Linked DNA regions of Mus musculus. The protein of the gene in region 1 interacts with the protein of each later gene in a pairwise test. Links are inferred from orthologs where the notes say so. Each region holds a gene or a part of one and is shown in the gene's direction. Other genes may lie near its edges. The genes, in order: Zmynd19, Lzts2, Tox4, Enox1, Nab2 and Saxo1.

Region 1 (3,974 bases):
AAGAAAAGTCTATTTGTATCTATTATGTCTTCTTCCCTTAAAGGGAATAGCTTCTGAGCTCAGGGTGTAGCTATTTTTGAGTTTGGCAGATTAGTGAAGGCTAAATAGTTTGTAAAGCCATAATTTAGAATCTAATCTAACCCTACCTTGTGGCTACCTCATACTCATTCATATCAGCTTAAGAAATGTATACAATAGGGCATGAGGTGTGGTTGATTCCCTCTACAAGGGGGATCTCTTTGATCTAACAGGTCTCTCTTCAAGTCATGGGGATGTGTTGAATTAATGTTTTAGAGGAATATGCAATAAGACAAATGGTTTTATCACCAGGGAACGCACTTTGCATCATCCTAAGCATTCCACCTCTTACTAAAAAGCTTTCTCTTAATCATCACAAATCTGAAGCGGGTAATGGAACAGGTGCGTTTGAGCAGCAAAGCACCTGGGGATAATATTATGCACCAAGGGCTGAGAGAAGTTCTAGCTTCACTCGACAATCCTTTGCTCCTGGTAATTTCAAAATGGAACAATGAGAGGTAGAAACGTATGCAGATCCGTTGATGCCTGGGATCATCTTGAAGCAGGTGGAGCCTAGCCCTGAGTTCGAACTCTAGGCCTTGTCAGCTATGTCAGGATTCCAGACTACCAGGTCTCCCTTTTCCAGAGACCGATATCCACCCCAGTCTCCGGCTTCTTCCGGAAGGTCTTAGGAGACCTAAGGTGCATGGGTTCCAGGAAACACCCTGTAGGTACTCGTCGCTGCCCCGCAGGTTGATTCTGGAGACCTGGACCACTCACTCAGCATCCTGCTAACCGGTAACCACCGGGTAAGGACATACGTTCTACACTGTACACAACTCAGAGGCGCGAACGCAAGCAGCTAGTCTCAGGAAGAAGCTGCGACCTACTGCGCTCACTCCCGCGCCTCAGCGGTCTCTGCAGCGCGCACAAAGCTTCCCGCGAAATTGACGTTGCGCCGGCCGCCGCGCAGGCGCCGCCCCCGGCTCGCCCCTCCCCCCGCACTTGGTTCTTTTTCACTGCGCCTGCGTCTGTTTCCTAGTCCCATTGGTCACTTGGCCGCGGCGCGCCACGACCGGCGAAGGGCGCGTCTCGCGATTGGTCGGCCCCCGCCGGTGGGGGGTGTGTCCCGGTCGTGCCCCGCCCTCTGCTTCGCTCGCTGGGGTGCGCACGGTGGTGGCGGCGGCGCGTGGCAGGTCCGGCGGGCGCGAGGCGGCGGCGGTGGCCCGAGCCCGGCCCAGCCTCGTCCGCCCGCGGCCCGCCCGGCCTGACTCCGGCACCGGCCCGACCCGGAGTGCCGCGGCCTCGCTACGGCCCGGTCCGGTCCGGAGCCTCCCGAGGGAGCGGCTCCGCCTGCCGAGAGCGCAGGCCTGGCCATGACCGACTTTAAATTGGGCATCGTGCGGCTCGGCCGGGTGGCCGGGAAGGTGAGCGGTGTGGAGCGGCGGCGAGGCCTGCACGGGCTGGGGCACTAGGGCGAGCAGCTGCGCGGGCCTGCTTGGTCCGGCGCCGCCTTCCTCGCGGGAATCTTCCCCGCGGCCGGGGGCGCGCCCCTCGGCCTCAGGACTCGTGTGGGACTGGCTGGCGCGGAACAGTTCCTTGGGGTTCATCCTGTGCCTCCCTGGGCACCTGCCGCGGCTCCGGCGGCCGGGCTGCACCTGCGGTTTAAACGCGGCGGCCTCCCGCCGTGACGCTCTCGGCCCGAAGCTCTGAGGCGAGCGGAGCGGCCGGTCCGCAGTCCCCTTTGGCGGAGCGTTTTAACGTTGGCCACGTTCGGTCACTCGAGTCGCAGGCTTCCCTAGAGCACAGACGAGGAGCCAGGGTCCTGATCTTGGTAGGCTCCAAGACTCTCAGGTACTCCTCGCCTGGGCCACCACCCACCTCATGAAGCTGGGCTTCTTGGTGCTGTTCAGGAACTGTGGACCTTAAGTCTGTTCCACCAGTGGCGGCGGCTACTAGTGGGAGAGAGGAACAGACAGAAAGTAGAGGCAGGTAACTGAGATCTTAGAAGAGCTTCCAGGAAAGTAAAAGCAACCTGTCTTGAGCTTAGGAAAGGACTTCTGGAACTTTCTATTTCTAACTAGAGAGGGATGGGAGGCTTATGACTTAGAAATTATTTGCAGGAGCCTTGGGCCATTAAAGCTTTTATTAGGAGTATTTGAAATCAGGTGAAGGACTATCCAGTGAGCACGTGCAATATATCCAGCCTATTGAACAAACATCTCACCTGGAACCTGGATGATCTATCTTAATCCCATTCCCTTCCTCCATTCCACTAGACTTGTGTTTGACCGAGTTTCTGGATACCACTTGTCAGGGTCTATCAGGTGTAGATGGGCTCTGAAGCCTAATTACCCACGCTGGTACATGTGGTCATGTTTTGCTTTAATATACTGGATCTACTTTCTTTTTACTATTTTTCCTTTTGGGGGGGGGGTTCGAGACAGGGTTTCTCTGTAGCCCAGGCTGTCCTGGAACTCACTTCTGTAGACCAGGCTGGCCTCGAACTCAGAAATCTGCCTGCCTCTGCCTCCGAGAGCTGGGATTAAAGGTGTGCGCTACCACTGCCTGGCGTTTCTTTCTTTTTTTGAGGCAGGATCTTACTATGTGGTCCTGGCTGTTCGGGAACTCACAGAGTTCTGTCTGCCACTACCTTTGAGTGTTAGGATTAAAGATGCCACCATGCCCAGCTTGGACTGCACTTTGATGTAGGCTGTGCCAAATGAGCCTGAGCAAGGCCCCACTTAACATGTGGCTCCTTTCTTTCTTATTGGACAGTATTATAGATTCCTGATGTTATTGTTTCATAGGTGAATCTCATATGTAATTTTTGAAACATGATTTCTTTTCAGACCAAATACACACTGATCGATGAGCAAGACATACCACTGGTGGAGAGCTACTCCTTTGAGGTAAGCATTGCTGTTTGTTGCCCAGGAAGAATAAGAAATGAGTTTCCTCCCTTGTTCTGGGAGAACAAGAAGATACCCACTGATATTTATTTTATTTTTTATTTTTTTTTAAATATTTATTTATTTATTCATATGTAAGTACACTTTAGCTGTCTTCAGACACTCCAGAAGAGGGAGTCAGATTTCATTACAGATGGTTGTGAGCCACCATGTGGTTGCTGGGATTTGAACTCAGGACCTTTGGAAGAGCAGTCGGCACTCTTAACCACTGAGCCATCTCACCAGCCCTCCCACTGATATTTATGATCTTTAGCTCCAGAGCAGGTTGTGACAACCTGGACATTGCTGGCTGGTAGAGTCCGTTGTGACCTTCTTCACCCTGATTGCTAGTCTTTGAAAGCACACTGCTTTGCTGTGTTGATGATTGTGTGTCTGTTAAATCAAATGAGCACACTTGGGTGTAGCTATCCTCTCGCCTTTGCACTATAACCATGGAGGCCATCCTGCCCTCATTGTTCTTGGTAAAGAACTACCTACCATCTCTGGATGGTGGCCTGGTGGGGCGTGGGGGCAAGGTTTTGCTCCCCCAAGCCAGCTGTGAATATTTAAATCTCCCTGTCTCCATTACCTGAGTGCTAAGATTACAGATGTGGAGCATCACAGCCAACATGGGCATTTTCCCCCTCAATTATTATTTTCCCATGGGTTTATTTATGTGTATTAATGTTTACCTGAATATCCGTGCATGAATCACATGGTTGTGAGCCACCAGGTGGCTGTAGGGAATCAAGCCCAGGGTCCTCTGAAAGAGCAGCTAGTTGTCTTAACTGCTGAGCTCCCCGTCGTCCGTTCTGGACTTTTTTAAGGGTAGGAAAATTTAGTTGGTGTGCACAGTATTTTGCAAGTTGTTGATCAGGATGTGACCCCTGTACTTTTGGGGTCCTAGGAGCAGGATATCATCTGTACTTCTGGCATTTTTCTGAGCTGGATTTGAAATATGCTGAGAGTTAAAGGCTTTCCAACAGATGCACTCTGCTCTGTGCT
Region 2 (4,835 bases), on another chromosome or scaffold:
GGTACATAGCACAACCCTGTTTGGTTTTGTCATGTCCCCTACATCACACACACACATATACACACATGTATGAACGTACTGACATCTGTCTAAACCCACATGGACTGCACAGTTTCATGCATATTCTCACAGATACTGTTCATTTTTTTATGACCCTGTCTATGTACTCACACCCACAAGTAAATGTACACACACACACACATACACACACACACACATACACACACACACACATTCTTCTTTCTCATGGATCCTCAGTCCACTTTTTGGCCCCTTTGCTCTGTGATGACTTCAGCAGATGCCTAAGTCTTGGTCATCGGCAGCCTTGGGACTGGGCGGGAGTTCCGTTCTGGGTGCAGGCTTGCTGTTCTTTCCAGGAAGGAGTAAGACTAGGGGAGGCGGAGCCAGCCATCTTACTTGAGCTCCTACTAGACGTGGTAATGGGCTCCTGCTCAAATTCCATAGGGGTTATTCTGAAGATCAACTAAAGCAGGAAGGTTTATAAAGGTTGGCAGTGGGACAGGGCCTGGGTAGGCTCCCTTAGTCCCGAGTGATGGCAGAAGCTAAGAGTGACATGGAAACAAGCACAGCCTGCATCAACCTCTGGGAGGTAGGAGAGACCCCAGAGGGCACCTGTGGATTCCTAAGACCTGTAAGGTTTCCTGTTTGGCCAGCTCCACCCTCGAAGCCGCCTGAGTGTCTGGGAGAAACTGAGGCCCAGTGGTGGGAGGCTGGACAGCGCCTGGCTTTGACTCTTTGTTCCCTAATTACCATCTGAGTTGCTGATTGCATCCCTGACGTGTCCTCTGCCCAAACAGCCCAGTAATGAGGCCACCTGTCCCAGGAGAGTAGGGACCTGTACTGGGAGCTAGAGTTAGGGATCTCTGCCCAATCTGAGTCTTTGGCTATATAGGGGATACAGGTTGGGGCTTAAACTAGGTCTTCTCTGCCAAGGAACCCTGTATAAATGTTTAGATCTCCCATTCCTTCCTCTCTGTGTGGTCAAGTTATTCCTTAGCCTTGTTCCAGACTAGAGTTGAGGCCCAGAGGAACTCGAGGTTCATGCCAGTTCTTGGAAGGGAAGCCTTTTTCCTAAATGGGGAATGTTCTATCTGGAGGAGGGGGTCAGGAGAAGGCTTATAGGGGGAGGATCCTCAAGGTGCAGGGACTCTGACACCAATGCCCTGCTCACAGGTTGCCCCGGAGGCCCCTGGCCAGACCTGAGCCTCTGCCACCATGGCCATTGTGCACACTCTGCCAGTGCCTCTGGAGCCCGCACGTGAGACAGCCACTGCCCCCAAAACTCCAGCAATGGGCAGCGTGAGCAGTCTTATCTCAGGCCGGCCCTGCCCCGGGGGACCTGCTCCTCAACGACATCATGGTGTCCCTGGGCCCACCTTCTTCCGCCAGCAGGATGGGCTGCTACCGGGTGGCTACGAGGCACAGGAACCGCTCTGCCCGGCTGTGCCACCGAGGAAGGCTGTCCCAGGCAATAGCTTTACCTATGTCAATGAGGACTTCCGGACAGAGTCTCCTCCCAGCCCCAGCAGTGATGTTGAAGATCCCCGGGAACATCAGGCACACAATGCCCACCTCCGTGGGCCCCCACCAAAGCTCATCCCTGTCTCTGGAAAGCTGGAGAAGGTAACGGGCAGCCCTTTTGGGAGGACCTGGGTGGGAAGCCAGGAGCCCCTCAGGGAAGCTAGAATTTGGAAGCGTCAGTAGAGCAAAGAATATGGGTTCTGTCTTACCACTCAGACAGTGAAATAACCTGTCTGAGCCCCGTTTTCTGTGTCTTTATGGTTACGGTTAGAGGCTAATCTTTGTAGGTTCCTGTTAGAATTAATACATAGTAAAGTACCCAGCAACCTCAAATGAACAATATAGTAATTGTCTGAGTTAGTTTTATTTTGTTTTTTGAGACATGGTTTCTCTCTGTAGCCTTGGCTGTCCTGGAACTCACTGTGCAGACCAGGCTGGCCTCGAACTCACAGAGATCTGCTTGCTTCTGCCTCCCGAGGGCTAGGATTAAAGGCATTTGTTACCACCTCCAGCCTAGTTGCTTCAATTATTCAGAGGTGTGTGTATGTGTCCTTGGGCAAAACCTTTAACTTTACTATGGGCCTCTACATCCTTGTTTTTAATATGAGAAGAGGATCATGTTTTGTTTGTGTAGCTATTATGATTAAAAAATGAGCATTTTGAATTACTTAATGTAAGTAGGCAATTAGAAACTTGCTGCTAGAGGGAAGAGTTGTTTTTAATTTATAGGACTTGAGGACCCTGTATGGGGAATCGAGTAGTGTGACAGTTTTGAAAGATCAAGGTTTGAGGCTTGAAGAGATAGCAAAGTGGGTGAGATGCTTGCTGCATAAACACAAGAACCTGAGTTCAGATCCCCAGTACCCTGTAAGAAGTTGGCCATTGTGGCAAAGGACTGGAATCTCAGCACTTGACGGGCAGAGACAGGCAGATCCCTGGGGCTGGCTGGCCAGTCAGGCTGGCTGGGTTGGTGAACTCCAGGTTCAGAGGCTGTATAACAAATTAGGTGGAAAGTAATTGAGGAAAACACCTGACTTTGACATTTGGTCTCTTCACACGCAGTCACCAGTCACCAGTGTGTGCACACGTGCACACTCATGCACATAAAACATACATATACACCACACACACACACAAACTTACACACGTTAGTGTTTTGAAAGATCAAGCAAGCAAACTGGGCTTGGTATGACACACCTGTAATCTTGGTTTTTGTTTGGTTTGGTTTGGTTTGGTTTTTGGTTTTTGGAGACAGAGTTTCTCTGTATAATCCTGGCTGTCCTGGAGCTCACTCTGTAGACCAGGCTGGCCTCGAACTCAGAAATCTGCCTGCCTCTGCCTCTGCCTCCCAAGTGCTGAGATTAAAGGCGTGCACCACCACTGCCCGGCACACACCCTGTAATCTTTTTTTGTTTGTTTGTTTTTGTTTTGTTTTTAAAGATTTATTTATTATTATACATAAGTACACTGTAGCTGTCTTTGAACACACCAGAAGAGGGCACCAGATCTCATTACGGGTGGTTGTGAGCCACCATGTGGTTGCTGGGATTTGAACTCAGGACCTTCAGAAGAACAGTCAGTGCTCTTAACCGCTGAGCCACCCCCCACCCACCCCCCACCCACCCCTGTAATCTTAAAAGGCAGAGAAACCTTGCTTGTGATCAAGCCTAGCTTGGGGATACAAAGTGAGTGAGCTCGGGCCAGTAAAGTAAAACCCTGTCTCAGAAAAGCAACAGAAATAACATTTTAAAAAGGGCAAGGGACTGGGCAGATCACCCTCACAGTGTCAACTGGTGCCTCATTTCAGAATATGGAGAAGATCCTGATCCGGCCAACAGCCTTCAAGCCAGTGCTACCCAAACCTCGGGGGGCGCCATCCCTACCCGGCTTCCTTGGTCCTCGAGCTGCTGGGCTATCTGGGAGCCAGGGCAGCCTGACACAGCTGTTTGGGGGGCCAGCCTCTTCCTCCTCCTCTTCCTCTTCCTCCTCTGCTGCTGACAAACCCTTGGCACTGAGTGGTTGGGCCAGTGGCTGCCCTTCAGGAACGCTGTCAGACTCTGGCCGAAATTCTTTATCCAGCTTGCCCACCTACAGCACTGGAGGTGCCGAGCCAACCACCAACTCCCCAGGTGGGCACCTGCCCTCCCACGGCCCTGGCCGAGGGGCACTGCCTGGTCCAGCCCGAGGGGTCCCTACTGGGCCCTCCCATTCAGACAGTGGCCGGTCCTCCTCCAGCAAAAGCACGGGCTCCTTGGGGGGTCGTGTAGCTGGGGGGCTCTTGGGCAGTGGTGCCCGGGCCTCCCCTGGCAGCAGTTCTGGTGGAGACCGCTCTCCACCCCCTCCACCACCTCCACCCCCTTCGGATGAGGCCTTGCTACACTGTGTCCTGGAAGGGAAGCTCAGAGACCGCGAGGCAGAGCTGCAGCAGCTGCGGGACAGTATGGATGAGAGTGAGGCCACAGTGTGTCAGGTGCGGCCAATGGCAGTCCTGGGGCCGTGGGGCTGAATACCCAGAGCGTTGCTGTTGGGGAGGGAGAGGGTCAAGACTCCTGGTGTGACACCCCTCCCCCCCAAGGTTGGTTAGCTTAACCTTCAAAGCGGTGAGGAGGCAGGGTATATAGGAATTGGACCCAGCACTGTTTTGTAGGGTGTTAGGTTTGAGCAAGTTAATCAATCTCACCGGGCCGCAGTCTCCCTGTGTAAATGGAGATAACTGTGACTCCCTAAGGGGGTGATGAAGATTAAATAAGACAAAAAGGATAAAGTCCTTAGACTAACACCTGATACCTAGGAAAGGCCATATAAGTGCCTGCTTTTATAATTGTCATAATTCACTGGATTCAGGCCAGGCAGGGAGCTACCCAAGCAGGAGATGGTAGAGCTCATGATCGGGGGGGGAGGGGGGCGGCGGCGGCGGCGGCGGCGGCGGCGGCGGCGGCGGAGGGACTGGACCGGACCATTTCTAGCCTGAAGTCTTTCCCTAGGCATTCGGGGCACGGCAGCGGCGCTGGCCACGGGAGCGAGGGGAGGACTGTGCAGCCCAGGCGCAGCAGGCCACGCAGCGCGTCCAGCGGGCCCAACAGCTGCTGCAGCTGCAGGTGTTCCAGCTGCAGCAAGAGAAGCGCCAGTTGCAGGATGACTTTGCCCAGCTGCTACAGGAGCGGGAACAGCTGGAGCGCCGCTGTGCCACTTTTGAACGGGAGCAGCGGGAACTCGGGCCACGGCTGGAGGAGACCAAATGGGAGGTATGCATGATGGACGCCGGGCAGGATGAAGGGGGTCACGCTCTGCAC
Region 3 (5,032 bases), on another chromosome or scaffold:
GTTTATTTATTTGTTTTCGAGACAGTTTCTCTGTGTATCCCTGGCTGTCCTGGAACTCACTCTGTAGACCAGGCTGGCCTCGAACTCAGAAATACACCTGCCTCTGCCTCCCAAGTGCTGGGATTAAAGGTGTGCACCACCACTGCCCAGCTATTTATATATTTTTAAGATTTAATTTTATGTATGTGAGTACACTGTCGCTGTCGTCAGCAGACACACCAGAAGAGAGCATCGGACTCTGTTCCAGATGGTGTGAGCCACAATGTGGTTGCTGGGAATTGAACTCAGGATCTCTGGAAGAGCAGTCAATGCTCTTAACTGCTAAGCCATCTCTCCAGCCCATGAGGGCCATTCTTAATTCAAATCACCACACATCTTTCCCTGTCGTAGAGCTCTTTGTTAATGGTATTAATACATTTGCTTTCCATACAGGGGTTCTCTGTGTAACAGCCCTGGCTATCCTGGAACTTACTCTGTAGAGCAGGCTAGCCTCAAACTCACAGAGATCCACCTGCCTCTACCTCCTGAGTGCTGGGATTCAAGGTGTGAGCCACCACTGCCTGGCTCACATATTCTTTATCTTAGAAGTTTCAGGGAAAAAAATCATTTTAATTTAGTTATTGTTGTTGTGCTGGGTAGCAAACCCAAGGCTTTATACTTGCTAAATGTTTACTCTCCTACAGAGCTACCTCTAACCTAAAATCCCATTATCAAACTATAAGTGGGACTGCAAATTAGCGCTCATTGGGTGAAGGCTTCTGATGACCTTGAACCCAACATTCTTCACGGTGACAGGGAAGAATCAATTTGTCCTCTGACCTCTGCATGCACACCCAAAAACATGCACATGTACACACGAATAAATAATAAAATTCCACTATAAAAAGACTGTGTATCTTCCCTAATCTGTAAAATAACCATCATTTTCCTTTTACTAATGGTGAACTCTGGCAGGTGTGGTGGCGCGCGCCTTTAATCCCAGCACTTGGGAGGCAGAGGCAGGTGAATTTCTGAGTTTGAGGCCAGCCTGGTCTACAAAGTGAATTTCAGGACAGCCAGGGCCACACAGAGAAACCCTGTCTCGAAAAAAAGAAAGGGAGGGATGGAGAGAGGGAGGGAGGGAGGGAGGGAGGGAGGGAGGGAGGGAGAGAAGGAAAGAGGAGAGGGGGAGAAAGAGAAAAGAGAAAGAAGAGAAGAGAAAAGAAAGAAAAGGTCTAAAGATGAACTATGGGGTTCCCTACCCAGTTAAGGTCATACAGCTTCTAAATGATAAGGTTGGGCAGTCTTGTTCCCTTAACTTTAAATTTCATGTGACAGTGAGCAATTGTGCCTTATCCCTTGTGTCTTCAGCTGTTGAGTTTAGCTTTTCAAAGCTTGGAAATTCCATGTACCATCCAATAGTGCCTAATCCCTCTTTTGTCTTTAACTGTTTAGTTTTTAGGTTAACTTTCCCGAGCCTCGTGTTTTTTTTCTAATTGTAAAGTTAAAATATTTCTTGGTAAGTTGCATGTTGAAACTATCCCTCAAAGTTTCAGGTACAGTTTAGCTTGAAAACTAACTATATATATAATATATATATGTTTAGAGAGAGAGAGAGAATAGAATAGAATATAGAATATACATATATTCTCCCTAAATTTAAACAGAATTAAAAAAATTGAACTGGTAATAATGACATGTATGTGTAGTCCCAGTTATACTGGGGAGGGGAGGGCAGGGTAGAAAACACCTTGGCCCCAGCGATTTGGGATCAACAACATACTGAGACACACATACACCATCTCTTTAGGAAAAAGAAACTGACATGGTAGGATACTACTGTGGTTCTTAGCATTTATGAGGCAGAGAGAGGATCATGAGTTTCAAGGCTAGCTTATGGAATGTGTGTGTTGGTGGGGGTGGAAGGTATGAATCATCAAGTCGTAAACTGAAGATAGCTGTAATTATCATTACCCTATGTGCCTGTATTTTCTGTCAAAGCAGTCCTCAGTACCTAAAACAAAAAGCTGATTTTGTTTTAACCAAATGGTGGAGTATGGCTGGCTAAGCTGGCAGTTACTTCTGTCTGTTAGTTGCTGTGTTGTTATTCCTTGTAGCCTTTCATGTGTTTTTTTGGGTTGTTTGCTTTGTTTTTTAAGACAAGGTTTCTTGTGTAGTCCTGGCTGTCCTGGAACTGACTTTGTAGCCCAGGCTGGATGCAGATTCATAGAGATCTATTGCCTCTTGTGTTTTAAATAGTGTGTTATATTCTAGTGATCAAACAAGTCACAGAGGTAGCCCAGATTCAGTAAAAGAAATAGGCTTCCGCTTTTGGTGTCAGAAGAGACATGCAAGAGGAAAGGACTCTTGAGGTCATCTTTGACAGCTTACACATTTCCTAAGGGAAACCTTTCTGAGTTGGGCGGTATTGAGCTAAGTATATTACTGATCTTACAATTTGCAAACGGTTTTATGCTTTATATGGCAGTGGACATGGAGCTGTTCACCTCTGTGAGTGGTTGAACTGAGTTCTGATGCACAGTACTTACCAGACTTACCAGTGGTTCATTTGAAACAAACACTGTCTTTCCTGTAGGTGTACAAGCGGAAGACTGAGGCTGCCAAGAAAGAGTATCTCAAGGCACTAGCTGCTTATAAAGACAACCAGGAATGCCAGGTATGGTTACAATAAACAGATGCCTTAAGTCATTTTTTTTTCCAATTGTTATAGGTAAATCTCACACACACACACACACACACACACACACACACACACACACACACACACAGAGCCAGGAAACCAAAATCGTGGTGAGGCTGTGAGAGTTAAAAGCACTGCTGTTCTTGGGAAGGATATTAATTCTGTACCCAATACTCAACATGTTGACTTAGGACTATCTGTAACTCCAGTTCCTTAAGATCCAGTGACCTCTTATGACCTCCTGAAGCATACATATGGTGCACATATGTGCAGGTAAATACTACACATACCAGGACAGCCAGGGCTATACAGAGAAACCCTGTCTCGAACCCCACCACCACCCAAAAAATACTACACATACACATAAAAAATAAACCTGTATAACCTATTACTGTATAGTGTTAAATTTTAGAGCTTCCTCACCCAGTATTTCAATCATAAGTTCTGTAAATAAGTCTTTTAGTTTATCCACTACTTCCAGTGTTTACGTAAGAAAGTCCTTATCTTTCTATGACATCTTTTTTTTTTTTTTGCTGTAATGAAAATGAATGTGTACTAGAGTAGAGAGTAAATTACTTGTCGCCTTTTTGTCTTGGTCTTTGTTTGTAGGCTACTGTGGAAACAGTGGAATTAGATCCTGTGCCACAGTCACAGACTCCTTCCCCACCTCCTGTGACTGCTGCTGACCCAGCATCTCCAGCACCAGCCTCAACGGAGTCTCCTGCTTTGCCCCCTTGCATCATAGTGAATTCCACGCTTTCATCTTACGTGGCAAACCAAGCCTCTTCTGGGCCTGGAGGTCAGCCCAATATTACCAAGTTGATTATTACCAAACAGATGTTGCCTTCTTCTATCACCATGTCCCAAGGTGGAATGGTTACTGTTATCCCAGCCACAGTGGTTACCTCCCGTGGGCTCCAGGTAGGCCAAACAAGTACAGCTACTATTCAGCCAAGCCAGCAGGCCCAGATTGTCACCCGGTCAGTGTTGCAGGCAGCTGCAGCTGCTGCTGCTTCCATGCAACTGCCTCCACCCCGACTACAGCCTCCTCCGTTGCAACAGATGCCTCAGCCCCCAACTCAACAGCAAGTAACCATTCTACAGCAACCCCCTCCACTTCAGGCCATGCAGCAACCTCCACCTCAGAAAGTTAGAATCAACTTACAGCAGCAGCCACCACCTCTGCAGAGCAAGATTGTGCCTCCACCCACTCTGAAAATACAGACTACTGTGGTCCCTCCAACTGTAGAAAGCAGTCCTGAGCAGCCTATGAACAGCAGCCCCGAGGCCCACACAGTAGAGGCAACCTCTCCTGAGACAATCTGTGAAATGATCGCAGATGTAGTTCCTGAGGTAAAGCCTTTGCTCTTTGTTTTTTGAGATAGGGTCTTATGTTGGCCAGGACATATGGACTATGTAGCCAAAGATAGCCTTGAACCTGATTCTCCTGCCTCTGCATGTCAGCTTCACTTTATAAAGTTACTTTAAAATGAAAATATTAAGAATTCATTCTGCTTCCTAGAGCTGTAAGCTTGGTTATAAATGAGAACAAGAAATCACCTTTTTCTGAAACTCCTTATATAAGGGGGTGTGGCAGATGTTTTGACTAGGTAGTAGCACTCTAATCCATCCTTGTATTGCTCCCTGTTTTAAGGTGGAGTCTCCTTCTCAGATGGATGTTGAATTGGTGAGTGGCTCCCCTGTGGCACTGTCACCTCAGCCTCGATGTGTGAGGTCTGGTTGTGAGAACCCTCCTGTTGTCAGTAAGGACTGGGACAACGAGTACTGCAGCAATGAGTGTGTGGTGAAGCACTGCAGGTGAGTTTAACAGTCCTTATAAATCAAGAGGTAGTGAAGTGAAACTGTTGGGGAGCATGGTACCCGTACCCGTGTGGACTGAGCATGACCTTATTAGGCAGAGCCACTTGACATGTGTGGGTGGGTAGGTATCTGATTAGAGATGCTCCTAGATGTTCAATTGCTTAGAGATGAGGATGTAGCTCAACTGACAACTGCTTGCCTGGCATGGGTAAGGTCCTGATTTCAATTACCAGTGTCAAAGAATTTGGTGAGGGATAGGTAAGGGGGAAAGTAGCAGAGTAAATGCTAAGTGTAGAGAAGGTGAGTAGTAAGTGAAAACTTTGCCCTTCTACCAAAATATCCCAGGGAATTACCTATATCCGTGAAAGGGCATATGTGTCCTCTACGAGGTGGATTGGCACAGTCTACCACATCTGACTTTTAGGCTACTTGATGATGTTATACTTTGGAGATGTAGGGAAATATTTGGGTATGGTTTTGCTATAATAAGTTTGTATGTATCTTTCTCTCTTAGGGATGTATTCTTGGCCT
Region 4 (5,730 bases), on another chromosome or scaffold:
GTGGTCTAGTTTGCCTATCGGCGGTCCAGTCTGCATATCTGCTCCCAAGTTTTAGAAATTCTTTTCAAGGCAGCGTTTTAGATATCTAAGTTTCTCATTTAACAAAACAAGAGTTCCAAGATGATAGCCAATGTCTCTTCAGAAGACTGTAAATGAAATGACAGTGAAGTCATTGGAAGGGACCCCCTAAGAGAAAACATAAAATGGATTTATTTGGAGGCACCCAGATAAATCCTTTTTAATTCTCACTTTATTTCAGTTATAGTTCACAGCTGTGGTATCATGGCTGGCAAGAGAGGCAGCTCATTGGAAGAGCCCGAGTTCAAAGGAATTGAAATTGAGCGTGGAATGTGAAATCGAGAACTCTTGCTTCTAAGAAGATGACTGGAAATACTGAGATTGGAGGAAGCCACCCTGAAGCAGCAGCAGAATTAGCAAGCCCCAGTGACCTTGTAACGTATGGGCCAGTGTTTAGTGCCTAGTGTTCCTGACAAGAGAAAAGCTTGCTTCTGACCAGCATCTAGAGGCAGACAGATTTAACACCTCCTTTCCTATCCTTTTCTGTAGAAGGGAGTGTAGAAACTGCCAAGTATCTGCAACTCGGTGACTTGGACCTTTTTTGAGAAGGTTAGGTGTCCCCAGGATCTTTATCCTTTGCTCAGGCAGATTATACCACCAAGTTCCTTTCTGAGTGCTCTTTTCGTGAATCTTTTGGTAAATTTGCACAATGGGTCAGTCTTCTCCTATGTTCCTTCTTTGCACTGGGGCCTGGCAGCCCGAGGGGAAAAATAGTCTTTCACACAGGGAACTGGCATACGTTTAAATCAAGCAAGCCTAGTGGGATGGTAATGACATTCCCACCATCTGAGTTTCTGCCTTCAGGATATGTGAAGCTAGAAAACAATGTCATTCATTCAACATTTATAGAGAACACACAGTGTACAGGGGCGCTGTGCAAGTCTTGGAGGGCAGGCAAAAGTGCAAACCCTAACCCGCTCTTGAGGATTCCTGCCAAGAAGAGCATGACAACTGCAACACGGACCTTACACTCCTGGAAGGAATTCTTGGGTGAATAAAGTCTGCTTATTTAAAGTAAGCATGGAAAACTATACCAACAGCTCGATGTACCTTTCAGGAATAGGACAGATAAGTGGGATTTAGTCATAATCTCTAAGGTGTTAGAGCGCTCGGTGATGAAGGTGTTCTCAGCTTGCTTTGAGTTACTTGTGTATCGGGACAGTTGGCAGAATCCTAACAAAGAGAGGGCCAATACTTCTATATGGAGGTGGCTAACTTTGAGGGAAAGTGGCTTCCAAGGAGAACAAAAAGGTAACATTTTCATCTGGAGCGATCCCAACCACCACTGAGGCATCCTAATACCCTGGGTAAAACCTCTGTGCCCAGGCTCAACCTTAGACAGCGCCGGGTTGAGCAGTGCATCTCAGCATCCTGGAGTCCACTGCACGCACCGAGTTCCCCCCCGCACCCCGGTCGCCTGCCTGGCGCCTTCAAGGTCGCCATGGCAACCATGGGGTACCAAGACCAGTCCCTGAACGTCCAGCCTAGAAATTCAAACTGGCAGCAGTGGCACGAGCGAGTCGCCTCAGCTCCTCCCCCGAGGGAATAGCGCGATCCTCGGCCGTGGGCACCACTTGTGCAGCATCAGTGGCAGAGCGCTCCTCCGGCTCCAGATCGGCCGGGATCCGGAGCTCGAGCGCGCCACGCCGCCTCTCATCTGGTTTCTCCGCCGGGCCAGTCGCTTCTTCGGGCCAGACAGGCCGCCCATCCTTTCACCGCTTTACGGATTTCCGGGGGCGACGAATTTTGCCTCGGTCCCTACGAGCATCTCTCCGCTTCGCTCCCCCGCCCCTCGCGACTCCCCCCACTCCTGGGCGCGCGCGCGCACACTCACTCACACTCTCAGGCGCGCGTGCGCACGCCCGCGCGCCCCGAGCCGCGGAGTCTCCAGCGCCCCTGAGCAGATCCCACTCTCCCGGGCGCTGCTACTCACACAGGCTTCCAGCCGCCACGGGGCGTCCTCTGTCTGCGGCAGCAGCGGCGGCGCGAGCGGAGGCTGCAGTCTAGCCGGGTCTGGCTGCTCGGCGCCCTGGACAGAGTCCGGCAGAAGCGCGATCGGGAGGAGACGCCGAGGCAAGGAGGAGCCGCGCCGCGCCCGGCGCTCGCTTGCCTCGAATCCCCGCACCGCGGCCCCAGGTAAGCGGCTCCGCGGCCCGCAGCATCCCCGGGGCGTAGGGACTCGCCGCCCATGGGGGGTTCCCGGTCCCGCCCCCGTCGTGGCCGGGGAACAAGGCACCGAGGGGAGTGGGCGAGGGGGGAGGGGAGCGGAGCTGGAGGTGAGGCTGGAAGGCAGCGGTGTGGGGGAGCCCCCTGCGCCCTTCCCCGACGCTCCTCGGGCTCCCGCACTTTTATGAGCCGGGGGTGCTCAGCGCCCCACACAGATGTACTCCGCTCTTTTTTATCGCTGGCCGGCTAGAGTCCGCTCGGGCTCCGCGCCTACCACGCACCAACCGCCTCCCCTGCACCTTGGACAGCGCACCCCGCCGCTCGCCTCCCGGGGACCGCACCCGGGACCCTGTCCTGCCCGCGCAGCCCTCCGGTTGTTCCGTTCTTCCCATAGTGTCCTCCTCCTGTCTTGCATAGCATCTCCCTGCCTTGGCGTTCTCTACTCTGGCGCGGGCCAGAAACTTTCCTCTCTGCCCGATCTGCGCGAGGTACTATTGTTGTTATTTGTGTCTTTCCTTCTCGCTGGGAACTGGACACAAGGACAGGTCTTCCTCTGCGGGCGATCGCCTGCCTTTCCCAGTCCAAGACCGCACTGGGCAGCCGGACTTGGACACCCGGCCGGCGCCTCGGCAGCTGGACGCCCGCGGGTTCCCCGCCTCTCTGGACACGTGCACTCCTCCCACGGACGCGGCCCCTCCCGGACCACCCTATGTCCTACCCCTGCATGGCCACGGCCACCCCATAGGTTGGACACCCGGGATCGCGGGCTCTGATTGGTTGATCTCATAACCCCGCCTCCTTGGAGGGGGTGGTTCTGGAGTGTTGTGGTTGTCATCCCGCAGCGAGCACATGGGGGAAGTGGGGTCGACAGGTGGGGAAACCCAGCTCTATGGCATACACATCCCAGTGTATGTAATCCGGCTAGTATCATTCCTTCAAATTGCACATTGTGCTTTACTCCCCCTTCCGCAGTCTTCCACTGTTATAACATTTTAAAAAATTTAAATTTTGTTGAGATTATGTTTGTTCAGTGGTAGTGGTTTTTAAAAGTAGCTTTAGGAGAATGCAGGAAACGAATGCACGAGAGGAGATTCATGGCAAACTGGGCTGCATGTTTGAGTTTGGTCCTTTGGAGGAAGTAGTGAAGGGTCATTAAGGGATCTGAAGAAGGTGAAGAAAGGAGAAGGGAAATGGATTGTTGGCAGAGACCCTGGTGCTTACGAACCCAAGGAAGGAGGTGGTGGGTCTTTTGTAGGTGGCGATGTGAAGAAGTCCCTGGGAGCTCTAGTGGGAGGCAGCTGCGGTCTGCTGAAGACTGCTCTCTGGAAAAGTAGTAATTTTGTCTAGTACTTAGGTTGTGATTAACACACTTTGCTTTTGTTTTGCTAGCGTTGCACTCTTGATAGGAGACTTATAGTAATAATGTCCGTGCACATAATGGATATTGATTATTCCGCTTTCTTGTGATATGCAGATTTGCAAATGGTAATGAATTTCATCCCTCTAGAGGGAAGCATTAGTTAAAGTGCTTCTGAAATATGGTGAGACAAGACGGATGGGCACTGTGTGAAGTCTAGAGACTGTCCTGACATTGTGTAGTGCCATTCCAGAAATACGTACAAATTACTTTTATTTCCCTTCATTTCTAAGCCTGATTGCCGCCGGCATTCTCGAGCTTTAATTCCTTCAGACTGTTTTGATGTCATGTCTGAACACTTTAAGGATATTGTCATTCTTATCTTTGTAACCTTGTCAATGCAAAGCAAGTGGCAAGGGATGCAGGATAATGTTGACAACTTTATATTGAGCACACTGTGTGTTATTTTATTTGTAAGCTGGTGGAATGTGCAAAAGGAACATAGCATGGCTGTAACTACCCAGGGACCCATATCCAAACAAAGTGGAGAGTCACGTGAGGCTATTCCAGGGAGTGCAATTCAATTCTTTTTAAGATGAATAAATTTTAAAGATTCCTATGTGTAAATGGTAACACTAGTTGAAAGGTCTTTTAACACACTTATGGTCTGGTAGCACATATTAAGTTAAATGGCTTATTTAATATGTGAGATGGTTCAAAGGAGATGACAAAGCCTCCCAATCTTCTATTATATAAGTAGGAAGAAGAGCTTTGCTCTCTGGAAGGCTTCCTAATCAAGGAACAGGGTTTGACACATCTGACACCTCTGAAGTCGTTGCTGTTGCTGAGAAAATGATTCTGACTGTGTTTTTATTTCTCTAGTTCATGCTCTGGTTTTCCCACATGGATTTAGATGCTGGCTGCAGGCCTACGAAATGTATATGTGTGTAGACTGGAAAAGAATGTGTGCAATAGCACAAACATATATGGGTATGTGCAAAATATATATTTATGTCTGCACACAGTTATAAACTGGATGCATATGATTTAGGGTACCTGCAGCGTATTTATATTCATATATATATTCTTGTCGGCCTCGGAAATTTTGCTCATCTCTTCTTGTCCGAAAGGTGGCCCTGTTTTAAACTGTAAAAGCATTATCACCAGTAGAATTGGCCAATAGATCACAGAAACAGACAATAGTATTTTGTTGCCTGGCAACCACCTACTGTGAATGAAAAACAGAGCAGTGACAGCTGCATGCACATCCTGGTCCCCAGCCCATGGTCCCCAGCCCATGGTCCTCAGCCCAGGCATCGAAGCCCTCCACTTGACATACATCTGCAAGTTTCACTTCAGACAGGCAAACCTGTCTCTTTAAAAAAAAATGTTAGTAACACAATTTTGAATTTTTTGGTTGTAATAAGAACTGTGTGGTGATTGTTGAGGAAATGAAGCGCTCATTTCTATTGCCCCTTTTAAAGCCTGGTGTAAACAGAAAAACCAGAGTGGGAGGGAGGTTTCTAACCTTCACAGAAGCCATTAAGCATCCCGAGCACACACTGACTACCGTTAGGTGCTCTTAGGATGTTATAAAAGCTTGAGTTAGCTCTGTGATACCTAAGTAGAGGGCAGCCTTTTACTGCTAAAAGCCAAGTCGAGAGTGATGCTTTCCAGCTTAACTATTTAATTCCAAGCATTCCGGAGGCACGGGAGGGATACAGCAGCCTGGTGACAGCCCATAGGACCGCTTCCCTGGGATACCCTGGGATGGAATTCCTTGGTGACTGTCTCCTACTTTCTCCTCCACATTATTCTCTCTTCGTTCCCTTTTTCCCCCATTGGAACTTGTAGCTGGGATTGAATCAGGATACTTTGAAAGTACATAGTAATTACAAGTGAAGATCAATACGGACATACTAGGCTAGAGTGTGGACTGAGGTGTGCTGCACACAGTTTATTTTGCATTCGGCCCCATGAACCCACCTCCTTCCCGCCACCTGCAAGCTCTGTGCCTTGCTAGCTGTTTATAGTTTAGAACAATCTTTAATACTCTCTTATTCCGTGTGAGTGTCTTTGTGTGCGTACATGCATGTGCGTGTGCATGTGTGTGTGTGTGTGTGTGTGTG
Region 5 (4,886 bases), on another chromosome or scaffold:
TACGGCCGCCTGGACTCCAAAAGGCGGGAGGGCAAACAGCTTAGCTTGCATGAGGTGAGGACCCCGGGTCCTCAAGGCTGCCCTTCACTCCTGGGGCTCAGTTCACTTGCCTCTGAGACTTCTTCCGTCTTCCACCTCTGTATGACTGTCCCCACGACCACCCAAGCTCCTTCCCCACACTCACACATACCCAACCCCTGCTGCTGCTTTACGTTCTTGTCACCCAAAGGGAAGCTGAGATAATAGCAGTGAGCCCCGCACTGCTCACATCCTAGGTGCAGGAGGCCCTGATAGGGACAATATCCCCACCCCTGTCTTTAAGTACAGGCAGTTCCTGGGTATTATTTAAAGCAGACAGTCTTTGGATGGACCTCCCAGTGGTGGTAAAGGGGAAAAAAAACAGTAGGAAAGTCAAGGACTCACATTGGCTGTCCTCTTGCCACAGCTGACCATCAACGAGGCTGCTGCCCAGTTCTGCATGAGGGACAACACTCTTTTACTGCGAAGGGTAGAACTCTTCTCACTGTCCCGACAAGTAGCCCGAGAGAGCACCTATCTTTCTTCCTTGAAGGGATCCAGGTGAGACCCCCTCCCCCCTCTTCCCCAGGGCCATTTGGTTGGAATCCTGCCAAGGACTTGGCTCTCCCCACTTGTGGCTCAGGCGGCTCTAGGCCTGCTTCCCACCCACCTGCATGTCTTCACCTTGCCAACTCAACTTAAACTTGTCTGAAGCTTGCTCTCTGTTCCCAACCCCCCCGCCCCCCATAATGATTGGACTTCCAACTCCTGTCCAACCAGCTTCTTCCTGCAGTTTTAAGTACTGCATGTTTCCTGGCCGGATTGTGCACCCCGTGGGTTGTGGAGTTGTGGGGCCCTTCCTAATTCCACTCATTTTTTTTTCTCCGTTTTTTTTGCAGGCTTCACTCTGAAGAATTGGGAGGCCCACCACTGAAGAAACTGAAACAAGAGGTAGAGTTTGGGGGGCAGGGAACGGCAGCCTGCCCCAACCACTGCCTTGGTGAGTCCTTATTTTCCAAATTTTGGGCATCCACAGGTTGGAGAACAGAGTCACAATGAAATCCAGCAGCCTCCTCCAGGCCCTGAGTCCTATGCACCCCCATACCGCCCCAGCCTAGAGGAGGACAGCGCCAGTCTGTCTGGGGAGAGCCTGGATGGCCACTTGCAGGGTGAGTGTGCATTAGAGCACCTTTCTCTGCTTTGGGAGGCGGTGGAAGTGGGGCGGGTGGATTGCAGGAATGAGCCAGGTGTCAACTGCCTGGAACAGGGTTGGGAGGCCTGGCTGGATGGGGACAGAGGAGCCTATGGGAATGACTGTCGGTTGAGGGTGGGTATTGTTGGCAGCAGCCCCTGACCTGACCAGTGCCCATGCCCACAGCTGTGGGGTCGTGCCCAAGGCTGACGCCGCCCCCTGCTGACCTGCCCCTGGCATTGCCAGCGCATGGGCTATGGAGCCGCCACATCTTGCAGCAGACACTGATGGATGAGGGGCTGCGGCTCGCCCGCCTCGTCTCCCATGATCGTGTGGGCCGCCTCAGCCCCTGTGTGCCTGCGAAGCCGCCTCTCGCAGGTGAGGCAGCCAGCAGTGCTGTCCCTAAACACCCCAGTTACTCAGGCCCCCATGTGGGTCCTCATTTTCTAGGACCAGAGGGAGGAAGAGGGATACAGCTGTCAGAACAGTAGGAGGAGCTCCAGCTAGCCAGACCTTGAACAGGGCAAGCTACTACTGGGTTATTTCCAAGTGGGAGGGTCTGATTCAGGTGGGGATCTTTGACCAAGGAGCAGAGAACAGAATGAGGGGTGAAGGTGAACAGGGGAGACAGCAGTAAGGGAGGCCTGGCTAGAGCTACCTAATGCAGGGGATGGAATCGCTGGGAGTTGTGGGGATAGGGTTCCCCAGCTTGGAAACCAAGGAGCCCAAACTGGGCACTTTATGTGTGCATAGGAAAGGAGAGGGCCGGGCAGCCGCTGGGCTGAGAGTGACGCCGCAGGCAAAGCCACCAACCCTGGCTTGGTATTTTTAAACTGTGCGTGGGTGGGAAGTGGGGGCGGGGACTGAAGGGGGTGCTTCTCTTGAGGGAGGAGCTGGGAGTCTAGCTTCCTGTGTTTCCCCTGATTTGGCTACCAAAAACTCGGGGAGCACTTATAGGGAGGGCGAGACCTGGGAGGGGACCCGAGGTGAGTGGAGGGGGGTGGCTGGGCCTGGGAAGGGGGAGGGGGAGGGAGAGAGGTCAGAGCCAAGCCGCCCCCGCAGCTCCTGACAGAACCAGAAATTCCAGCAGAGCAGAGGCGGGCGAGACAGGGAAGAGAGACACACAGAGACAGAGAGCTACACACAACCAAACTAGGAGGGGGAGCTGCATACGCTTGGGTACGGAACCCCCATACACATGCAGTGGGCAGGAGGCAGTAATTCAATAAATGGAGCTGTCTTCGCATTTTTCTGTGCCTGGCCTCATAACAACGCTTCTGCTCAGCCTCCAACCCAGTGTTCTAACCAACCTACACCTCTTTCCTACAGAGTTCGAGGAGGGGTTGCTGGACCGCTGCCCTGCCCCGGGACCTCATCCTGCTCTGGTGGAGGGCCGCAGGAGCAGCGTTAAAGTGGAGGCAGAAGCCAGCCGGCAGTGAAAGTGGGGGAAGTCTCAGACCCAGGACCCAGACTTCTGGCTCACTTAGACCCCCACATTCTCCATCCTTGCACTCGCCACTACCCTAGAAGGATCCTTCTGCTGCCCTCTGCCTCCCATCCGCCCCATGGGCACAGGACTATGGGGCTTCAAGCAATAACAGGCAGGGGCCTGGCCAGAGGACACAAGGACGGTGCAAGGTGTGCCCTCACCCGGCTTAGGGGCACGGACTTTGCCTCCAGCCTGCTGGGGCTCTCCTTTCTCTCATACCACACACACACACACACACACACACACACACACACACACACACACATATTCTCCAGGTGGCCAGCAGTGGTGTGAGCAGCTGAACTACTTCACTTGGACACGGAGAAAGAACTTCCCCAGGAAGGTCTAGCGACTTACAGTGGAACCTTCACTCTGAGACTGGGGGCTTGGGAAAACTGGGTCTCCCCTCCCCATCCCCATTTTTCGTGCTTCTAGTTTGTTTCTTTAATTTAACAAGTGCTGCAGTTTGCCCACCCGTTCTTATCTCCCCCCTCCCCGCAGACCTTTCTCTCAGCACTGTGTGGGAGGGTGCCCCGAAGTTCCCTCCACCAGCCCCTTAGAGGCCTGGGTTGGACCCTGGGCCTCCTCAGCCGGCAGGACTGCAGCACCTGTCGAACACTTAGCGTGTCTTTCTTTTCAGATTGTGTACAGTAGATTATTTATTTTGTTATTTTGGAATAAAATTTATTTTATGGCTTAGGATCCATGGCCCCCTTCCCCTCCAGTGAGGGAAAAAGGACTGGGTAAGAGCCGGGGGAGGGGGGCAGAGCTGGCAGTGGACAGAAAAGTACAAGAGACAGCAGTTGAGGGCCTCAACGCCCAGGGAGTTTACACAGAGAGGTCTGCATCCCTACTTATATCCCAGGCTCTAGGAAACACTGGAAGCATCAAGTTACCCAGGCTAGAGCTTTATGCATGTCACAGCCACATAGTTACTCCCCAAATGATACTGGGTTGCTGTCTTATACAATGTCTCAGCCTTTCAGATATGTTAAGGTCACACTGGCAAAAGCAGAAGATACATGTTCTGTGCGGTCATACAGTGATGTGTGACTTCTATAGGTTAACATGTCTTGGGTAAACATTGGTACAGCTATACACAAGCTTAGCTCTTAGAATGCAGTCTCAAATGTCACTAGGCATCTTTTTTTGCAAGAATTTGGAGCTTTGGAGTCTTGTTTTTTAAAATCTGGGTAGAACTCACACCAGTGACTGTATACCCACTTTTTCCTTTTTCTCCCTCCCAGAGTCACCTGAGCCCAGCTTCAATGCCCTAGGCCTATATGCCCTCTGTCTTTGGCACAATGTCTCTATGTTTCTGTATGTTGAGTCCCAGGCCCTGGCTCAACACAGTTCTGGTGTGTGTGTATGTGTGTGTGCGTGTGTGTTGTGATACAGTTGTATCACATTCGAGCATTAACACCCCACTCATCCCTTTGCACCCAGTGCTGGAAAAGGGGGGCCCTGATATGGCAGGAAGGACAGAGCACAGCAGTTCCATACACCACATGGTCTCCCAGCCAGTTCTTTTCTCTTGACCAAGGAACAGTTGAGACGGAAGGCACCTGCATGAGCAGGTGTCCAGAGCTGGTCCATAGAGACAGAAGAGGCTTTGTTTCTGGGCTTCTCCAGCTGGGATCACCAGCTGGGGTTGGTCCTTAGGTCCAGGTGGGACAGTGAGATCCCTGATTGCCCATAAGGAGATGGTTGCAGGAGGGGCTGGCTTCCTAAGGACCCTCCTGCCTCCCCTTGGTTCTCCAGGAGAAGCTTGGTGAGGTCCTGTTCAGTGGGAGGCATCAGGGGAGGGTACATGTCTTCACTGACCCTGCAAAGAGGAGGGAGAAGTAGGGGAGCAGGCACAGCACCCATTGTCTCAGCCCTCACTCCCGGGTTGCTACTCACCAGGTGCCTTGGGGGAAACCTCCCACAGGCTGAGTTAGGCAGCTGTCCTCTACCATAGTCACATCTGAGCAAAGCATGGGTTCAGGGCTGGACACAGCATGTTCCTGGGACTGGCACTGCAGCAGACCCCTGCCAGGGGTCAGAAGAGGAAATTAGGAGGGGTGGGGTAGGCAAGGGAAGAACAGAGAGGGTGGGGCCAGGAATGGCTTTGTCACTTACTGGGGGTGAGGCTGGTCAAAGGGCATGGTTATCTGGCTCATGTTGGGGGGCATTTGCAGGTGAGGC
Region 6 (5,100 bases), on another chromosome or scaffold:
ACCATCGGACTGAGCACGGGGACACCAGTGGAGAAGTTAGGGGAAGGACTATAGGAGCTGAAGGGGTTTGCAACCCCATAGGAAGAACAACAATGTCAACCAACCAGACCCCCACAGAGCTCCCAGGGATTAAACAACCAACCAAAGAGTACACCTGGAGGGACTCATGGCTTCAGCTGTGTGTGTATATAGCAGAGGATGGCCTTGTCGGGCATCAATAGGAGGAGAGGCCCTTGGTCCTGTGAAAGCCTGATGCTTAGGGGAATTTAGGGGAATGGTAGGGTGGTGAGGCTGGTGGGGGAGCACCCTCATAGAAGCAGGGGTGGGGGATCGGGATGGGATAGGGGATTTGTGGAGGGGAAACTGGGAAGGGGGAGAACATTTGAAATGTAAATAAAATAACCAATTAAAAATTATAAAATATTTTATTTTTCTTTAAAATATGGGAGATACTGGGGCATGTTTAAATACTGCCAGAAAGGAGACAGCTGGGGAAAGATAGAGATGCAGGGTAGGAGATGGTCTGTGGATGAAGAGCTCAAGCAGGTGATTTAGGGAAAGGGTGACAGTCTGCTTTGGCAAATAGGAAGCCACCCTTCACCCCCGTAAGACAGAGTCCATTTTAGCATGATTGATTCCCTGGCGGCTACTATAATACCTTTTGAAATTTGTATAAATATTCAATTATTTTTAAAAAAGTAAACTTTGTTTGGCTCCTGTGAGAATTCTCCATTCTCCACTTCCAGGCAAATGGTTTTCGTTAGCAATTCTGTAATTTCCCCTTTCCTTTTTCTCTGTTCATGCCCAACACCTTTCTTTAGCATAGCCAAATGATTTGAAATGAAGTTGCTATAACTTCCCCAGCAGGGCCACTTTAACCAGTACTTAATTCTAGTTTAACTCTTGGCTTTCCATGCTGGGTAGCTTTTATAGCTACCTACCTAAAGAAAACTTAGATCTTTGACCTTTTTTTTTTTTTTTTTTCTTTATTCAGAATCACAGCGAGGTTAAACACTCGGGAATGCACCACAGGAAGAGAGAAGCCATTGAATGTTGAAAAACAAGTGGTTAAGTTTAAGCAATTTCTGTATAGAATAAAATAACTTTTTTTTTTTCTCCATGAACTTGAAGGATGTAAGATTATGTGACACTGGGGACAGGCATTTAGGCTGCGGCTAATGATAGCTTTCGGTGAATGTTCCCAACATAAAAATCTAACGAGGAAGCCCATACATTCTGATAAAATTCATTTGCAAGCCATGGTGACTATTTTTGGGCCAGATAAAAATGGATCAAACTTCAAACTTAAAAATGATCCTTTCCCCTGAAGGTGAGAGGCTTCTCCTCCCCATAATGATTTGCCTTCTCTAGAGCTGGTAAATGAATTCAAATAAAGATGCACATTCATATCTGGATTTGAATCTTTTGTCCGGAAGGAGATTAAGTAATGAATCCATTTCCTGAACTTAGCATGTTTTGTGCGTCTGCTTCTGTCTTTGAGCAGCGACTTGAGGCTAGCCCCTGAGCTGGTGAGTTTGTGAGCATTATTGCTTAGCAGCTTTCTGAGGGTGAACAGCAGATGGAGCATTGAGCCTGCTTCAGCTGTTAGTCTGCAGGGCTGAATACCCTTGGAAAATGGCATCTTGGAGGAGAAGTAAGCTTTTTAGGGTAGTCATAGAGCTCTGGGGTGGGAGGCCTCAGCATGCAAGCTTGGACAACTAGCTTTGCTCTTCAATGATGACTTTTGGTACCTTCTGCTATACCTCAGAACTGCAGAGGGACCACAGCCTGGTTAGCCATCACTGAACATAGATAAGGTGGCCTCAAAATGCCACGTTAGTCCTGGGAGTGGAGAGAAACTTCAGCTCCTGTTAGGTATTTTCTCTCCAGAAGGTGAACTTTAGAAGGAAGATAACTCTCAGGTTAGCTGATTTTCAGATGGGGTTTTAGCCATTTTCATTGGTCCGTACAGCTCATGGAGGCTTAGTGTCTCCTAGTGTCTTGCTGCAATTGGTTGAGTTGTGAGAAGTCACAACCTTAATCTAAGAAGGTGAAAAGTGTGAACCTGACCCTTGGTTTCTTATTAGCTTCCTGTCGGCCTGTTTATTCCATAACTCCCACCTTTATAATTGACTTCCAGATGCTGGGGTCCCTCAGCGTCCCTTTGCTGTTCACCCACAGTGAGGCTGCTAGGAAGGCAGGTCAGGCTGCAGTTGTTCTTGCTACTAGGATATATTTTAAGATGTACCAAGAGGGTGTTATAGGAGTTCAGCCGAAGCATCTCCCGTTTCCCACTTGCAGTCCCAAGGAGACTAATTCTTATGCTTCCCCAGTCCTTCATCCCACCAAGCATGCTCAGGACCTGCTTTGGGTTTATGGACAACCCCGTGTATAATTCATGCAAGACAGTTTACAGTGGAGCATGTTACCCTTGCTACTCAAGCATGGCTCGGTAATGCTGCCCCAGGTTTCAGCCTGGAAATAGGTTTTATTAGTGTTTAGCCTAATGTTTCCTGTCTGGAATTCTCTCCCTTCCATTGACAGAGCTGTTTTCTCAAGTACCTTTAAGGGGAAAACTCTGCTTTTCCCTTGTCCTGTTTGGCTAAATGGGATTCAGGAAGAAGCAGTTAGTCTTTGGAGGAACTGGTCTTATGGAGAAATAAGCAGTAGAGACTGTTGCAGTGGGCAGGAATGCCCGGCTCAGCTGGGTATAGCCGGCATGATGGGCAGGTGCCACCTGGGCCTGTCACAGATGTGCAATGATTTGGGAAGGGATTACTTTGGCGAACAGTGTTCTGTCTTTTCCGTCTTACTGTTTTGTTCCTCTTTCACATAATGGGGGCACTGACAGTAGATAGCAAAGAAGTGAAGACTTTGTGCCTCGATGACATTTTTTCTCTTCTGGGTTTTCTGTAAGGCTGAGTAGAGGCGATAAATATTAGTAGAAGAAGTTTCTGAGAACACAGAGAAAGGTGAGTGTATCTGAGAAACGGGTGCTAACCGATGCCAGCCCCACATGAGGGGTTGGATGGAAGATGGGTAGGAGGTTCAGTACAGAAGACCCTTCCTTCTCAGTGAGCCCCGTGGTTGACATGTGTTATAGGTAGGGGTGGGGAATAAGTCAGGGGACGGGTGTGGGACTACTTATAAATTGCATGGGTGAGCTGGGTTTAGTCTGGAAGACATTTAAAGATACTGGGCAAGCTGATCTGACTTTTTTTCACCGTTTACTCTGGACACACCAAAGCAAATTGGAGCAGAAGGAGGAAGATAGGGGGAAGGTTGTCACGTGGCCCAAGTAAAAAAGGGCAAGGGTCTGGACCAAAGAGGAAAGGAAAACCAATAAGGTAGAGGGGCTGCTCCTGGTGAGTGCTCTTGGTGGCTTTGAAGGGTGGGGTCAAGGATGACACCCGAGGGGTCAAACATGGGAAAAAAGTCAATTGTAGTGACATGTTCCATAGTAGAAGAGAGAAAAATAGAAGGTAAGGAGATAGGGTAGAATGAAATATTTGTTAATACGAGCCAAGGGGACAACACTGTCTTTTTTCTGAGCAAGGATCCCAATGACTTGTGTTTATTCTTTTCCTAGGAGAGATTTTGGGCTTCACAAAATGTTACCGGTGACATTCCACCAGCCTGACACATATGTTCCGAGTCAAGAGACTATGGATTTACTCACAACGTATAAACACGATTTTAACTACCTCCCTACCTGTCCAGTTGGCCTCATCAAACCTCGGGACAGTAAATTTCCAAATGGTGACAAGATAATGCAATATCTGCCTACCTACAAAGGTGAGAGAAGGATTAACAAGAGGTCAGGCCAGGGCTACAGACCCACCAAGACATGGGTATATGCACATCACCTTAGGGCAAAGGTCACTACCTGCAGGCTAAATCTAGCTAACAGCCTACTTTTGTATAGATGGGAAGCTAAGAATGGCTTTATAATTTTCAATAACTGAAAAAGTTATTTCAAGACATGTTGAAAATTACAATATTTGAAGTTCACCGTTGGCGGGTACATTATGTTGGCCCAGGCTGGCCTTGAACTCGTGATCCTCCTGCCTCTGCCTCCTTCAGCAAATCCTACCGGCGTGCGCCACCACTACCGGCAAGGGTACATTATGTTGGAACGTGGCCATATCCATTCTTTTATGCATCTGCTCTAACTGCTTCTATGTGACAGTGGCAAAGCTGGGTGATCATGGCCGAGGCTCCACGGGTGGCAGAAATGCACAGTATCTTGACCTTTTAGAATATTCTTTATGATCCTTGTTTGACTTGCCTTCTGTTTGATTCTTACAATGGGGGATCTGTTCAAATTTAAGCTAATTAGGAATCTACAATTTCCTTGTTTTCATCCAACTACAAGAAATTTGAATATAACACACAGAAAGTGAATGCAGTATGGTTACATAGATCAGAGCATTTTTACTGTACACACAGTGCTTGGCCAAAACTATACCACATCTACAGAAGTAGAACACGGCCATTGTGGGTTTTTTCCATGCTGGGTATTGAAGCCAGGTCCTCCCAAATGCCAGACAAATTAACTGAGCTACATTTCTTGCCCCATTATACCATACCATAGCAATTTAATACCATAAATTAGTTTTGCCAGTTTAAAATTTTTATGTTCAGTTGATTTACTCTTTTGAAAATATCTGTATTTTAAATTGACACATAATAATTGTACCCATTTATAGGGCATGAAGTGGCATTTTAATAATATGTGCACTGTATAAAGTTTTCAAAAATGTATTTACTTTTAATTTATGTATTTTACTTACTTTTGATTTGTGTATATGTGTGTATCTGTGTTGAGTATACGTTATGTATAGGTATGCCCATGGAGTCCAGACAGGCTTTGTATCTTTCAGAATTGGTGTTACAGGTAGTTGTATTGCACGGATGCTAGGAACTGAACCATGTCCTCTGAAAGAACATCTCTCTAGCTCCCACTTTTAAGATTTATTATTATTTTTCTGGTATATTTTTTTCTAAGTGTGCTATGCCAGAAACACAGACATATGTGCGTCTCTTCACAGTGCTAAAATTTATTGAAAACCAAATCATAAGCCACTCTGGATTGATTGG

The links.
Region 2: the proteins of Zmynd19 (region 1) and Lzts2 interact in binary tests that used the Homo sapiens proteins (3 or more experiments, as listed by UniProt). The two-hybrid records come from large-scale screens. The link is inferred for Mus musculus from reciprocal best matches to the Homo sapiens genes ZMYND19 and LZTS2.
Region 3: the proteins of Zmynd19 (region 1) and Tox4 interact in binary tests that used the Homo sapiens proteins (3 or more experiments, as listed by UniProt). The two-hybrid records come from large-scale screens. The link is inferred for Mus musculus from reciprocal best matches to the Homo sapiens genes ZMYND19 and TOX4.
Region 4: the proteins of Zmynd19 (region 1) and Enox1 interact in binary tests that used the Homo sapiens proteins (3 or more experiments, as listed by UniProt). The two-hybrid records come from large-scale screens. The link is inferred for Mus musculus from reciprocal best matches to the Homo sapiens genes ZMYND19 and ENOX1.
Region 5: the proteins of Zmynd19 (region 1) and Nab2 interact in binary tests that used the Homo sapiens proteins (3 or more experiments, as listed by UniProt). The two-hybrid records come from large-scale screens. The link is inferred for Mus musculus from reciprocal best matches to the Homo sapiens genes ZMYND19 and NAB2.
Region 6: the proteins of Zmynd19 (region 1) and Saxo1 interact in binary tests that used the Homo sapiens proteins (3 or more experiments, as listed by UniProt). The two-hybrid records come from large-scale screens. The link is inferred for Mus musculus from reciprocal best matches to the Homo sapiens genes ZMYND19 and SAXO1.

The regions. Positions count from the first base shown.
Region 1 is NC_000068.7:24,948,603-24,952,576, forward strand, and holds the start of Zmynd19 (zinc finger MYND domain-containing protein 19), read left to right. Parts: upstream 1-1,174; 5' UTR 1,175-1,394; coding exon 1,395-1,445; intron 1,446-1,555; exon of another isoform or gene 1,556-1,872; intron 1,873-2,870; coding exon 2,871-2,930; intron 2,931-3,974. UniProt on the Homo sapiens protein: May be involved as a regulatory molecule in GPR24/MCH-R1 signaling.
Region 2 is NC_000085.6:45,020,193-45,025,027, forward strand, and holds part of Lzts2 (leucine zipper putative tumor suppressor 2), read left to right. Parts: intron 1-1,194; 5' UTR 1,195-1,236; coding exon 1,237-1,644; intron 1,645-1,645; exon of another isoform or gene 1,646-2,078; intron 2,079-3,349; coding exon 3,350-4,012; intron 4,013-4,526; coding exon 4,527-4,787; intron 4,788-4,835. UniProt on the Homo sapiens protein: Negative regulator of katanin-mediated microtubule severing and release from the centrosome. Required for central spindle formation and the completion of cytokinesis.
Region 3 is NC_000080.6:52,288,186-52,293,217, forward strand, and holds part of Tox4 (TOX high mobility group box family member 4), read left to right. Parts: intron 1-2,575; coding exon 2,576-2,656; intron 2,657-3,289; coding exon 3,290-4,033; intron 4,034-4,334; coding exon 4,335-4,498; intron 4,499-5,015; coding exon 5,016-5,032. UniProt on the Homo sapiens protein: Transcription factor that modulates cell fate reprogramming from the somatic state to the pluripotent and neuronal fate. In liver, controls the expression of hormone-regulated gluconeogenic genes such as G6PC1 and PCK1.
Region 4 is NC_000080.6:77,154,829-77,160,558, forward strand, and holds the start of Enox1 (ecto-NOX disulfide-thiol exchanger 1), read left to right. Parts: upstream 1-1,934; 5' UTR 1,935-2,214; intron 2,215-5,730. UniProt on the Homo sapiens protein: Probably acts as a terminal oxidase of plasma electron transport from cytosolic NAD(P)H via hydroquinones to acceptors at the cell surface.
Region 5 is NC_000076.6:127,659,433-127,664,318, reverse strand, and holds the end of Nab2 (NGFI-A-binding protein 2), read left to right. Parts: coding exon 1-54; intron 55-445; coding exon 446-579; intron 580-917; coding exon 918-969; intron 970-1,054; coding exon 1,055-1,187; intron 1,188-1,396; coding exon 1,397-1,588; intron 1,589-2,539; coding exon 2,540-2,649; 3' UTR 2,650-3,401; downstream 3,402-4,886. Other genes in the region: Stat6 (signal transducer and transcription activator 6), read right to left, coding at 4,338-4,524, 4,602-4,730, 4,821-4,886. UniProt on the Homo sapiens protein: Acts as a transcriptional repressor for zinc finger transcription factors EGR1 and EGR2. Isoform 2 lacks repression ability.
Region 6 is NC_000070.6:86,477,568-86,482,667, reverse strand, and holds part of Saxo1 (stabilizer of axonemal microtubules 1), read left to right. Parts: intron 1-3,589; coding exon 3,590-3,795; intron 3,796-5,100. UniProt on the Homo sapiens protein: May play a role in the regulation of cilium length. Stabilizes microtubules at low temperature.